Linked DNA regions of Xenopus tropicalis. The protein of the gene in region 3 interacts with the protein of the main gene of each other region in a biochemical or structural test. Links are inferred from orthologs where the notes say so. Each region holds a gene or a part of one and is shown on either strand. Other genes may lie near its edges.

The links.
Region 1: the proteins of mafg (region 3) and nfe2 form a complex in vitro, tested with the Homo sapiens proteins (2 studies listed by BioGRID and IntAct, with this or other methods). The link is inferred for Xenopus tropicalis from reciprocal best matches to the Homo sapiens genes MAFG and NFE2.
Region 2: the proteins of mafg (region 3) and nfe2l1 form a complex in vitro, tested with the Homo sapiens proteins (2 studies listed by BioGRID and IntAct, with this or other methods). The link is inferred for Xenopus tropicalis from reciprocal best matches to the Homo sapiens genes MAFG and NFE2L1.

Annotation. Positions count from the first base shown.
Region 1 is NC_030678.2:145,585,789-145,589,872, forward strand, and holds the start of nfe2 (transcription factor NF-E2 45 kDa subunit), read left to right. Parts: upstream 1-1,204; 5' UTR 1,205-1,334; intron 1,335-4,084. Other genes in the region: copz1 (coatomer subunit zeta-1), read right to left, coding at 991-1,008. UniProt on the Homo sapiens protein: Component of the NF-E2 complex essential for regulating erythroid and megakaryocytic maturation and differentiation. Binds to the hypersensitive site 2 (HS2) of the beta-globin control region (LCR).
Region 2 is NC_030686.2:11,705,194-11,708,846, forward strand, and holds part of nfe2l1 (endoplasmic reticulum membrane sensor NFE2L1), read left to right. Parts: intron 1-1,057; 5' UTR 1,058-1,108; coding exon 1,109-1,591; intron 1,592-3,653.
Region 3 is NC_030686.2:27,982,045-27,986,155, reverse strand, and holds the start of mafg (transcription factor MafG), read left to right. Parts: upstream 1-1,284; 5' UTR 1,285-2,360; coding exon 2,361-2,411; intron 2,412-4,111. UniProt on the Homo sapiens protein: Since they lack a putative transactivation domain, the small Mafs behave as transcriptional repressors when they dimerize among themselves.

The DNA.
Region 1 (4,084 bases), on a different chromosome or scaffold from region 3:
GGGTTTTGGATACATTTTCAATAAATCGGCCAAAAACTTCTCAGCACATTTATTCTAGATTTTGAGGTGCATAATGCACTAGAACTTTCTTGTTTTTACCCAATACAATACCCTTTAATCACAACCTGTAAAGAGAGATTCTATAAAACTATATCTGGGATATGCAATACCCCATGGGAAACAAAATCCTGCAAAAAAAAATTGTTAAGAGTTTAAATGCCTGATACAGATATTGTATTGTGTTAAAACTGTTCTATATTTCTTCTACCATCAGCCATAGCCCAACTGCTGTTGTTAAACTGCAAATAGACTAATAGCAACAATCTGACATGCATAAGCGCCAGGCCTGTCCAGTCTAACCCAAAGAGATTTCAGAATAGCCCAGACACCTTTCTTTTTCCTTAAAAGCCCAATCAATCATCTACTACTACTACTATTACTACTACTACTATTTACTATTACTACTATTACTACTACTACTATTACTACTACTATTTACTATTACTACTACTACTATTTCTACATAAAAATCAGGCAGATTAGGAAGGAAACACACACCCACACAAGGAATATCAGAAGGGGTATAGCACTATAGAGTTTGGCACACTATATTCAGAAAATGTCACTACCAGATATTTTTTATTATTTCTGTGCCAGCAGCCCTTGCCCAGTCCTGCCATTCAATAGGGGGTCCCTGGCACAGGCTCACCATGGCGTAAGGCTCAGGTGCAACATCCCTGAATGACAAAAAGTAACTACTTTGCTGCACGATATCTCCTACAGGTCCCAAAATGAATAGCTACCCTAGCGTTTGAACGTATGCTGGGAGTCACAGCCCAAAGCCTGCCACTGACAGACCCTAACCACTCGTCCCCTGTCCCTACACAGCAGCCTGGCCAGCTAAACAAACGATTGCAACCACCATAGAAAAATAAAGTTTTACCGGCCCCCTCACACTAAAATCAAAGCTATTTCCGCGGCCTCACTCACCAACAGTATAGCATCCATCTTTCTCTATCCTGCTGACGTGGAGCAAAGCGCGCGTTGGCTAATTCATCTGCCAATCAAAACTTTAGCCGCGCCTCCTCGCTCAGTCTGATTGGAACAGGAAGAAGAAGGGTGTGGCTAATAGCGTCTAAAGCTTTTTAATTGGTTGATGGTTTCAGTCACTGACAGGCGGAACACGAATGCGTCTACGTTGGAAGCGGAAGCTGCTTTTATTGGGCAAATGGTTACCATGGCGGAGGAAATAGATGTAAATTACTGTGTCACTAATAGTTTAAAGCTCCACCCTGCTGTTACGCTACAGCTCGGACATTGGAATGAATTGATAGGTCGGTTGACTTTGCGTAAAAACTGTGCTTAGTGCTCTTGGTTCCAATCCAGTGTTCTGCACTATGTTAGCCAGTTGAAAAAGTTGTAGTGTGAAACTTCTGACATGAAGCATAACAAAAGTGGCGTAGATGTGTTGTGGGTATTGGCTGCCTAAGATGATAATCTCAGCAAAGAGTTCCTTCACCAAAGCTGATTACAAAGAAGCAATGTTGGTTCTTATATACAGGATTTTGTACCCAAACAACAAGAGGAAACAAAAAGGAAAACACATAAGCATAATTAGGATGTAAGGAGAGATATGTATGGGGACGTGGGTGATGCAAAGGGGTTAGGGTTTCCACCTTTTCTGGAGAAAACTACTTACTTTACTTTTTTAAAGCAGTAAAAATAATAATGTGCTAATAAGTGAATCTTTTCATTAGGGGTCAGTGCAGTTTAAATGTAAGTTTTCTCAAAGTAACTTGCATAAGCGTAGGGGGCCAATGATGTTGCTGTGGGGCCCAATAACCAGTCATTCCACTGCTGAAAAGTTAATGTAAAGAATACTCATAGAATTCAGTAAATAGATCCCAAATAAAAACAGAGATATTACTCTATAATAAGCAGTTCATATAAATGGTTAAAATGAATAATTAATGTGCTAATAAGTCAGTTCATTGGGGGAGGTAGAATTTACCATTCATTGGTGGTTACTGGAGTTTTCCCTTCTCTGCATTGTCTTTTGCTTGTACGCAAGTTTTTATGCAAGTTACACAAGTTTCTAGGCAGGTTTAAGTTACGTAAATTGATTTAGTTTTGCCATAACTTTATATGTACGTTAGGCAATTTGCGTAACTTTCCCCACATAGCAATGGCAGCCCTGGTTATTCTTATAATATCTCACAGCCCCCTATTTTAACATTAATCATTTTCCAATATTGAATCCCTATTTAGATATTTGAGTTCGAGATTTGGAAACTCTAGTTTATAAACCTTTACTAATATTTCTGTATGTTAGTTTTTTCATTCTAATAACTACCTATTCCTTTTCCCTATTTACTGAAGGCCACACAGGCATTCAATACAATAGATAACGTTATCATTAATACACTTAATTGTTCATTGGCCCATATATGGAGCTCTTGAGTGATCCTGCCTGGTCGATATCAAGCAAGAAAGACAAAAAAGGGGGGGGGGGTGAATCTACATAGTAAACTGTGGATGGCCCCTCTAAAGCTGGTTTCCTAGACATGGAAACTCAGATGTCTATATATAAAATACATACTGCCATAAATAATGTAAAATTAGAGTAATATAAGGGGATGGCCATTTTCCACCCCTTTTATACATATCTTAGTGCTAGGTGCAAGCAGCACTGCCTTCAGACACAGGACCAACTCTACCTTCCATTTCAGAAGTCTGTCACCGGCTGGTACAATTTACAGAGGGACATTATGATATATATATTTTCACATTTTGCACTAGGAATATACCACATGTAAGATTTGCTTTTGAACTTGGTCAATATCCTAACACTTTTTGCAGGTTTTGAATTCTTCCACATTTCTAAGAGTTGGGGTTTGGTTAGACAGAACAATAAAAGCCATAGTGGACTCCAGAAATAATGGTGTAACAATTTTGCCATCCCTTTCCTGAATCATAGCATTAGAGCCACCTATTTTAGTTTTCTTCCTGCTGTCTGTTAATTGCATTGATACATATATATGAATGCTGCTAATATGCCACCCCTTTCTTAGTTGTTCTTCTATGAACAGGTTTCATATGATTATAATCTTTTCTCTAGGCATTGCAAAAATGCTAAATTAAAGGTGATGCCTTACCTATGCAGTCTTTCATAATAGAATCTACCCTAGGTAGGTTGGCTTACCTACAGTACCTTCATTATTATTAAAAAAAACTCAACTTTTTTGGAGGCCCTGTATGAACTGATTATTTATTAGTATGTAGTGTTTGCAGTTTATAGTGAACTGATCAGATCATTTCCTATGCTGATAACAAATGTTGTATTTATTTGTACTATGCATGTTTGGGAAATAACTGTAGGATAGTGCTTCTGTTTCAATTTCTTATTTGATAAAATACAACTTCCTTGCACAGGTTATACAGTGGTGTGAAAAACTATTTGCCCCCTTCCTGATTTCTTATTCTTTTGCATGTTTGTCACACAAAATGTTTCTGATCATCAAACACATTTAACTGTTAGTCAAAGATAACACAAGTAAACACAAAATGCAGTTTTTAAATGAGGGTTTTTATTATTTAGGGAGAAAAAAAATCCAAACCTACATGGCCCTGTGTGAAAAAGTAATTGCCCCCTGAACCTAATAACTGGTTGGGCCACCCTTAGCAGCAATAACTGCAATCAAGCGTTTGCAATAACTTGCAACGAGTCTTTTCCAGCGCTCTGGAGGAATTTTGGCCCACTCATCTTTGCAGAATTGTTGTAATTCAGCTTTATTTGAGGGTTTTCTAGCATGAACCGCCTTTTTAAGGTCATGCCACAACATCTCAATAGGATTCAGGTCAGGACTTTGACTAGGCCACTCCAAAGTCTTCATTTTGTTTTTCTTCAGCCATTCAGAGGTGGATTTGCTGGTGTGTTTTGGGTCATTGTCCTGCTGCAGCACCCAAGATCGCTTCAGCTTGAGTTGACGAACAGATGGCCGGACATTCTCCTTCAGGATTTTTTGGTAGACAGTAGAATTCATGGTTCCATCTATCACAGCAAGCCTTCCAGGTCCTGAAGCAG
Region 2 (3,653 bases), about 16 Mb from region 3:
GTTTAGTGGCACAGGCCAAATGGAACGTACCGGATATTCGCTGTTGCTCTGTGTATTTATAAAGCACATAAAAAGACTAACAATGTTGTTTAAGACCCCTGACACAGCCCAGTCGCGTGCATGCAAAGGAAGGGTATGGGGGGCTGTGTGATGGTACTAATCTATTTGTCAGATAAGGTACAAGGACAGTCAGTTAGATAGATGTGTGCGTAAGGCGATTTATATCCTGGAATGCTTTAAACCATAGAGAAATTCCCAACAATTTTTTTCTCTCCTATATAATAGCCCTTTGAAACGAGAGAATGCTAAACTACTACTCCCAGCACTTTTTTTTTATATTACAGGCCAGGCATTTCAGTTTAATATTTTCACTGCCCATTTTTTTGTTGCGGCCCTTAAGGGGAGCAATGAATGAATGGCATTGGCACTACATATGGGTATAAGCTAGAGAATTTGTTACACAAATACACATGGTTTTAGTTGCTTTTATAAACTAAATACAGTGTCCTTGACCACTAATATTAAGGGGTTGTTTACCTTTAAATTCACTTTTAGTACGATGTAGAGAGTACTATTTTGAGCAATTTTTGCAGTTTACTTTCATTTTTTATTTTCAGTTTTTGAATTATTAAGCTTTTCTTTCTGCAGCTCTTCAGTTAGGAATTTCAGCAGCTATTTGGTCTTGTAGAGACTGGTATATGAATAGGAGAGGGCCTAAATAGAAAGATAAGTAATAAAAAAAAAAAAAAAGCTGGAAAGAGTCAGAAGAGAAAGGCAAATAATTCAAAAATGATATAAAAAAATAAAGACCAGTTGAAAATTTGCTGATAATAGGCCATTGTATAACATGCTAAAAGGTGAAACCCCCCTTTAAAGGTGGCGGGGGCAGTGCAGAAGAGGGATATATGAGAAAGGTATTGCATCCTATGGACTTGTTTACTTACCCAGCGTGGAAGTGATTTGTGAGTGCTGAGAGTTCAGTTATGTGATAGGGCAGAGGGTGGGGAGAGGTCTATATGTTACCTAACTGTCTCTATTCTGCTTCATTTTGTTCTAGGTAAAGATTGTGTGTGTTTTGGGGGTCCCTGCTTCTTCGGGGCTCCCAGACATGCTGTCTCTGAAGAAGTATCTCACTGAGGGTCTGATACAGTTCACCATTTTGCTGAGCCTGATGGGTGTACGTTTGGACCTGGATTCCTACCTGCCCTCTCATCTGCCCCCTTTGCATGAGATTATTCTAGGACCTACCTCGGCCTACACCCAGACCCAGTTCCACAGCCTAAGAGGCACTTCCGACGGCTATGGGGTACATCCCAAGAGCGTTGATCTGGACCAGTTCTTCACTTCCAGGCGACTGCTGGGCTGCGTGAGAGCACTTGACCGCTTGACCGTGCCAAGCACAGAAGTAGATGCCTGGCTTGTACACAGGGAAACCGAGGGATCTGTGTCAAGTGCACAGACTGGTTCCAGCCGTCCCTCGGACAGCCCACAGGATCTTAACAGCTCTGGATCAGAACCAAATCGTGACGGGCAGGGGCTAGAAGAACTGGGGGCAACTGCTCAGCCTGGAAGTTCAGATTTGAGCAAGGAGGTAAGCTCAGTGTTTGGGTACAATCATAATTTATTTGCAGTGGGTTCTGTTAGTGGTTGTGCTTGTAGTCCCTAAATCTTATAAACTGATTGGGTGCTGTAAAGGAGCATAGCTCCAGATTCTGTTGTTCGTTTGTGCAACACAGCTGCTATTGGCTGTCACTCTGGCCCCATGACAGGAGGCGGCAGGTGTGTCGGATCAGGTCTGGGCCCACACAATACCGTAGGGCAGTGCTGTCCAACTTCTGTTGTACCGAGGGCCGGAATTTTTCCGACCTACGTGGTGGAGGGCCGATAATGGAAGCCAGTTTTGACCACTCCCCTTTTTGAAACTGCACCCACTTGAAACCACACCCATGTTATCACATGACCATACCCATATTAATGGTTGTAGTACAGCAAAAACCTGCCATACTCTGCCTGCCCTACCCTGCCTGTGTGCCATACTCTGCCTGCCCTACCCTGCCTTTGTGTGTGCCATACTCTGCCTTCCCTACCCTGCCTGTGTGTGCCATACTCTGCCTGCCCTACCCTGCCTGCGTGCCATACTTTCACTGTGTGTGCCATTCTTGGCTGGTTTGTGCCATACTTGGCCTGTGTGTGCCATACTCTGCCTGCCCTACCCTGCCTGTGTGTGCCATACTCTGCTTTCCCTACCCTGCCTGTGTGTGCCATACTCTGCCTTCCCTACCCTGCCTGCGTGTGCCATACTTTCACTGTGTGTGCCATTCTTGGCCGGTTTGTGCCAAACTTGGCCTGTGTGTGCCATACTCTGCCTGTGTGTGCCATACTCTGCCTTCCCTACCCTGCCTGTGTGAGCCATACTCTGCTTGCCCTATGCTCACACACAGGCAGCCTACAGTGACACAATGCTGGCACTGCTCCTACAGTCTGCACAATAACTATATATTAAAAAACTTTTTAATTGCAGTACCACCTCAGTATATGTTCTTTTTGTAGTGTGCAGGGATTATTTGTGGGTTTCTACTGCTCCTGAGGTGTGAACAGGGGAACAATGGGGGTGATTACAGCCTGAGCCTGAGGTGTGAACACTGCAGGGGGTGAACAATGCAGAGATTAAAAGGTGTGAAAAACACAGGGAATTACATATTTAAACAATACAGCCTGATTACAGCCTGAATCTGAGGTGAGAACCATGCAGGGGGGGGCAGTTAATCTCAGTACTGATACCATTTAAAGTTTACACAAGAGTAAGCCATCAAAGCAGCCAGACAGGTGGGGGGCCACACAGAGGGGGGTCGCGGGCTGCATGCGGCCCGCGGGCCGCCAGTTGGACAGCACTGCCGTAGGGCGCACAGGCAGGAACAGCCATGGAACCTGTTTATATATCAGCTGGTGAGTAAAACCCAGACACGGGGCTCATACACAGACAGGGACAGTCATATGACTTTGTTTATAAGGATGCAGTTGCGGCACAGATACAGGGCAGGGTAACTATCTGCTTGCATCTTAAAATAAGTCTGAACATACTTCTTCTTAGGCTGCCAGTTGGCACGAGGGCTTATAAGCTGTGACTGATCAGAGAGTTTTACTTCAGAGAAACAGACTTTGCCGGCACAGACTAGTAGTCTCTAATATATGTAGTATGTGCATAGAGAACTAAACGTCTAACACTGCAAACTGTGGCCTTGCATTTTGAGGAATGAAAAGGGCAGGCATTCCCATAGCACACATCCAGTATATATTAAAATAGGAATAAACATACACTTACAAGTATCAAGAATATTGTACAGGTATAGGACTTGTTATCCAGAATGCTTGGGACCTGGGGTTTGCCAGATAAGGGGTTTTCCAGTAATTTGCATCTTCATACCTTAAATTAACCCAATAGGATTGTTTTGCCTCCAATAAGGATTAATTATATCTTAGTTGGGATCAAGTACAGGTACTGTTTTATTATTACAGAGAAAAGGGAATCATTTAACCATGAAATAAACCCAATAGGGCTGTTCTGCCCCCAATAATGGGTAATTATATCTTAGTTGGGATCAAGTACAGGTACTGTTTTATTATTACAGAGAAAAAGGAATCATTTATCCATG
Region 3 (4,111 bases):
AAATCCGGGCCTGCCTCCCAGTCAAGTTATGGTACAGCTTTTGGATGTCCCCATACGTCTGCAGGACAGGAAGAGCAGCCTAGAGAAAATGAGATTTTCTTACTGGTAAATCCTTTTCTTGGATTTACTGTCAGTGCAGTAAGCCCCCCCCTTATCTCCTTTAGAGTAGTTGGCCTATGGGGTACCTGGCTATGCTGCCATGGTTATACAGTTGCTTAAAATTTTTGTTTTGTTCTTCCTTTTCCATCTAGTTATCCTTCAACAGTTTTTTTATGTACTCTTTCTTATCCTATCCTGTGTTTTTTGTTTTTTTTAAATACAGCCTCATCGCAGGTGAGCCACCTGCACCTGGAGAGAGCTCCTAGCGCACGCAGCCATGTTATTTAGTGCACATTAATAGCTGTGACAAGTAGCTGCTACTAAGTAGCTCCATGTGTCTTCACCCTTAGAGTTGTTAAACTAGGAGTATCTCACGGTTCCACTGTTAATAAAAAGACCCATTTGGATTCCTGGAAAACTACCCATTTGAAAATATATGAATAAACCTCACGCTCCAGGTATACTCTCTTTACAAATTGAACTATCCTCCAATGTGGGAAAAAAAGTAAGAACTTATTATCCCAATGGACTAAATACAAAATATCCTGGTTAGGACGAAGATGTTTATTTTACCAAAACTATATTTTTTTCACTCCCTACTTATTCCAGTACCTAAGACTGGGCTCATTACTTCACAAAAACTTTTAAACAGGTTCATATGGAATCATGGCTACCCTTGTGTTTTGGGTGCCATTTTATGTAAACATAAGAAAAGTGATGGTTTAAATTTTCTCAGTTCATTAAAATATTATCAGGCAGCTCAAATATCTCCTATAACTGTATTACGTTTCCGATTAACACAATTTTTTTGTGGTTAAAATCACAATATGCCAAAAATTTAGAGTAACCACGATAATTTCTGATGTTCGAAAATTATTTTATCGGTCGTACGAAAATATTATGGTTCGTTTTGAAAGTCACAAAATTTTCGGATCTGAACGTTCAGAAATGGCCCAAAAACCTTTCTGGCTTTGAAACCTTCAATGCATGATTTTGAAAGCCTTCCCAACTTGGCCAAAAGATAGTCACGATACCAAAGCTTGAATAAATTCCGAAATGATTGCAGTCTTTACGAAAAATACGACTTTCTTGTGGAAGTTAACGAAAACCACGAAAAAGTTGTGACATTTTAATGAAATTATCGTGGACATTACGAAAAGTTCAATAAATTAGAAAAAATACAATTTTTTCTCAAAAATAAAAATTGTGGTTTAATGAATGGGCCCCTAAGTGTAAGGGATTTCAGTTTTATCCATTTGCCTTCCATGACAAGCAGGCCCTAGAGCCTAGACCCTCAAAGTTTGTTTGTAAACATCCTGTAACTAGGATGAAACACAGTAGTAGTCACTGCAGACTATGAAATATTTCATTTCCAGTAACATGTAATATTTGATGGTATCCTTTAGCCAAACCTTAAACCATGTGACCAGCCTAAGAAAGTCTTGCTCAGCTGCAGCATCTGACTTCAGATCTCCCCTAATGTTGCTTCCTCCTTCCACTTTGGTCCAAATTTCATCCATGAAGTTAAGGATGGATATAAGGCTAAGATATTAATGCTAAACCTCACGTTAGGAAGCATTTTAATAAATATAGATGTTTTCAAAAGAACCCAGGATACTTCCCATAGTAATAGGGTTACAATGCTTACCAACAAAACCAAACCTTCTTTTAGGTAGTTAAATGTTATACTTATCTATTTCTTATCTAAAACTTTTGTCCTTTCTTCATCTTTATGACAATTACAACCTGAACTGCATCTTTGTTTTATAATATTTATTTGAATTTCTGCTCTTTCAAAACATTCCCTTATCTTTAGAATTGTCATCCGACAGACTTCCGGTAAAAAAAATCTTCCACGTTCAGCTACTCCCCTTCCTGTGATATCACATTGTCCAATAAGCACAGATCAGACCTGTGCTGGCTCCCACCTCTTTAAAGCCACAAGCTCCTCTGCCGGGGAACACAGAAATGTGGTTCCAGTGGTACAAATGTATTTTCCCAGTGTATCTTCAGGAGGCAGTTGCTAAACCCATTAGCTGTTGCTAAGTGGCAATCCTATCCCTAGAATAAATATTGTTTGCTGGTCATAAATTCCTGCAAACGCTTCTTTATTTCATCCTGGGCAACGGAGTTACTAATCCTGTAGCCTGCCTCCTTGCTTAGCTGTCCATCTGTCACCCTGCCCTCCTCTAATTCTGATTGGATGTGCTGCCAGAACCTGTGTGAGTGACATGATGCACACTGGGTTCTCCGTTAGCTGAATGGAAACGTTTTCTCCCCCTCCTTCCCCTCCCTGTTGGATAACAGAAAAGGTATGCTTTTTTTTTTCATTTTCTGCAGTCACAGTAGAAATATGAGACATGGGCTCTGTACAGGGAAAATTATTTTTGCACAGCAGCTGTCAGTTGTGTGGGCTCTGAGTTTAGGAACAAAAAAGAGAGAATATTCATTGAAACGCCTGGAGCGGAAAAGGGAATGCAAATTTTTTTGGAGGGGGGTGGGGCATGGTATTCTTTCATCTATATGACAATTACAGGCTGAACTGCATGTTTGATTCATAAGCCCCATTTGCCCTGTTCCAAGGCGTATGGGTCCAGGGGCACTGGAGACAAGCAAGGCTTATTTACAGATGGGAAGGCACACATTGTGTTGTGTTTCCTTTCATCCTGGCATCCTGGGCAATTCAGCTACTGATCATGCAGCCTGCCTCCTTGCTTAGCAGTCCATCTTCTGCCCCGCCCCCTCTGCTTGTGATTGGATGTGCTGCCAGGCACTGTGTGAGTGACATGCCCCACACTGGTTCTCTGTCGGCTGAATGGAACCACTTGCTCCCCCTTCTCCCTCCTTCCCCCTCCCTGTTGGATAGCAGAAAAGGTATGCTTTTTCATCTTCTGCAGTCACAGTGGAAATATGCAATGTGCGCCCTGTATGGGGAAAAGGGTTGCTAACAGAAATTCATAGACTCTCAGCAGGTGCAGAGACTATATTCTCTTGCCTTATAAATGTATTCATTAAATGCAGGCTTCTGGGCTTTTGCCTTATAAATGGATTGAATGTATTCTGCCTGGAGAGCTGTTTTCTGTGCCTCTTTTATTCTTCCCATCTCTAATGTGTACAACTGGGAGTTCTCGGCCTCTCTTGATTAACTGGCTATGCAGGTACTGATAACATGGTGTGAAACTAAGTTTAATACTATATTTGGCGCATATACAGTGGTGTGAAAAACTATTTGCCCCCTTCCTGATTTCTTATTCTTTTGCATGTTTGTCACACAAAATGTTTCTGATCATCAAACACATTTAACTATTAGTCAAAGATAACACAAGTAAACACAAAATGCAGTTTTTAAATGAGGGTTTTTATTATTTAGGGAGAAAACCTACATGGCCCTGTGTGAAAAAGTAATTGCCCCCTGAACCTAATAACTGGTTGGGCCACCCTTAGCAGCAATAACTGCAATCAAGCGTTTGCGATAACTTGCAACAAGTCTTTTACAGCGCTCTGGAGGAATTTTGGCCCACTCATCTTTGCAGAATTGTTGTAATTCAGCTTTATTTGAGGGTTTTCTAGCATGAACCGCCTTTTTAAGGTCATGCCACAACATCTCAATAGGATTCAGGTCAGGACTTTGACTAGGCCACTCCAAAGTCTTCATTTTGTTTTTCTTCAGCCATTCAGAGGTGGATTTGCTGGTGTGTTTTGGGTCATTGTCCTGCTGCAGCACCCAAGATCGCTTCAGCTTGAGTTGACGAACAGATGGCCGGACATTCTCCTTCATGATTTTTTGGTAGACAGTAGAATTCATGGTTCCATCTATCACAGCAAGCCTTCCAGGTCCTGAAGCAGCAAAACAACCCCAGACCATCACACTACCACCACCATATTTTACTGTTGGTATGATGTTCTTTTTCTGAAATGCTGTGTTACTTTTACGCCAGATGTAACGGGACACGCACCTTCCAAAAAGTTCAACTTTTGTCTCGTCGGTCCACAAGGTATTTTCCCAAAAGTC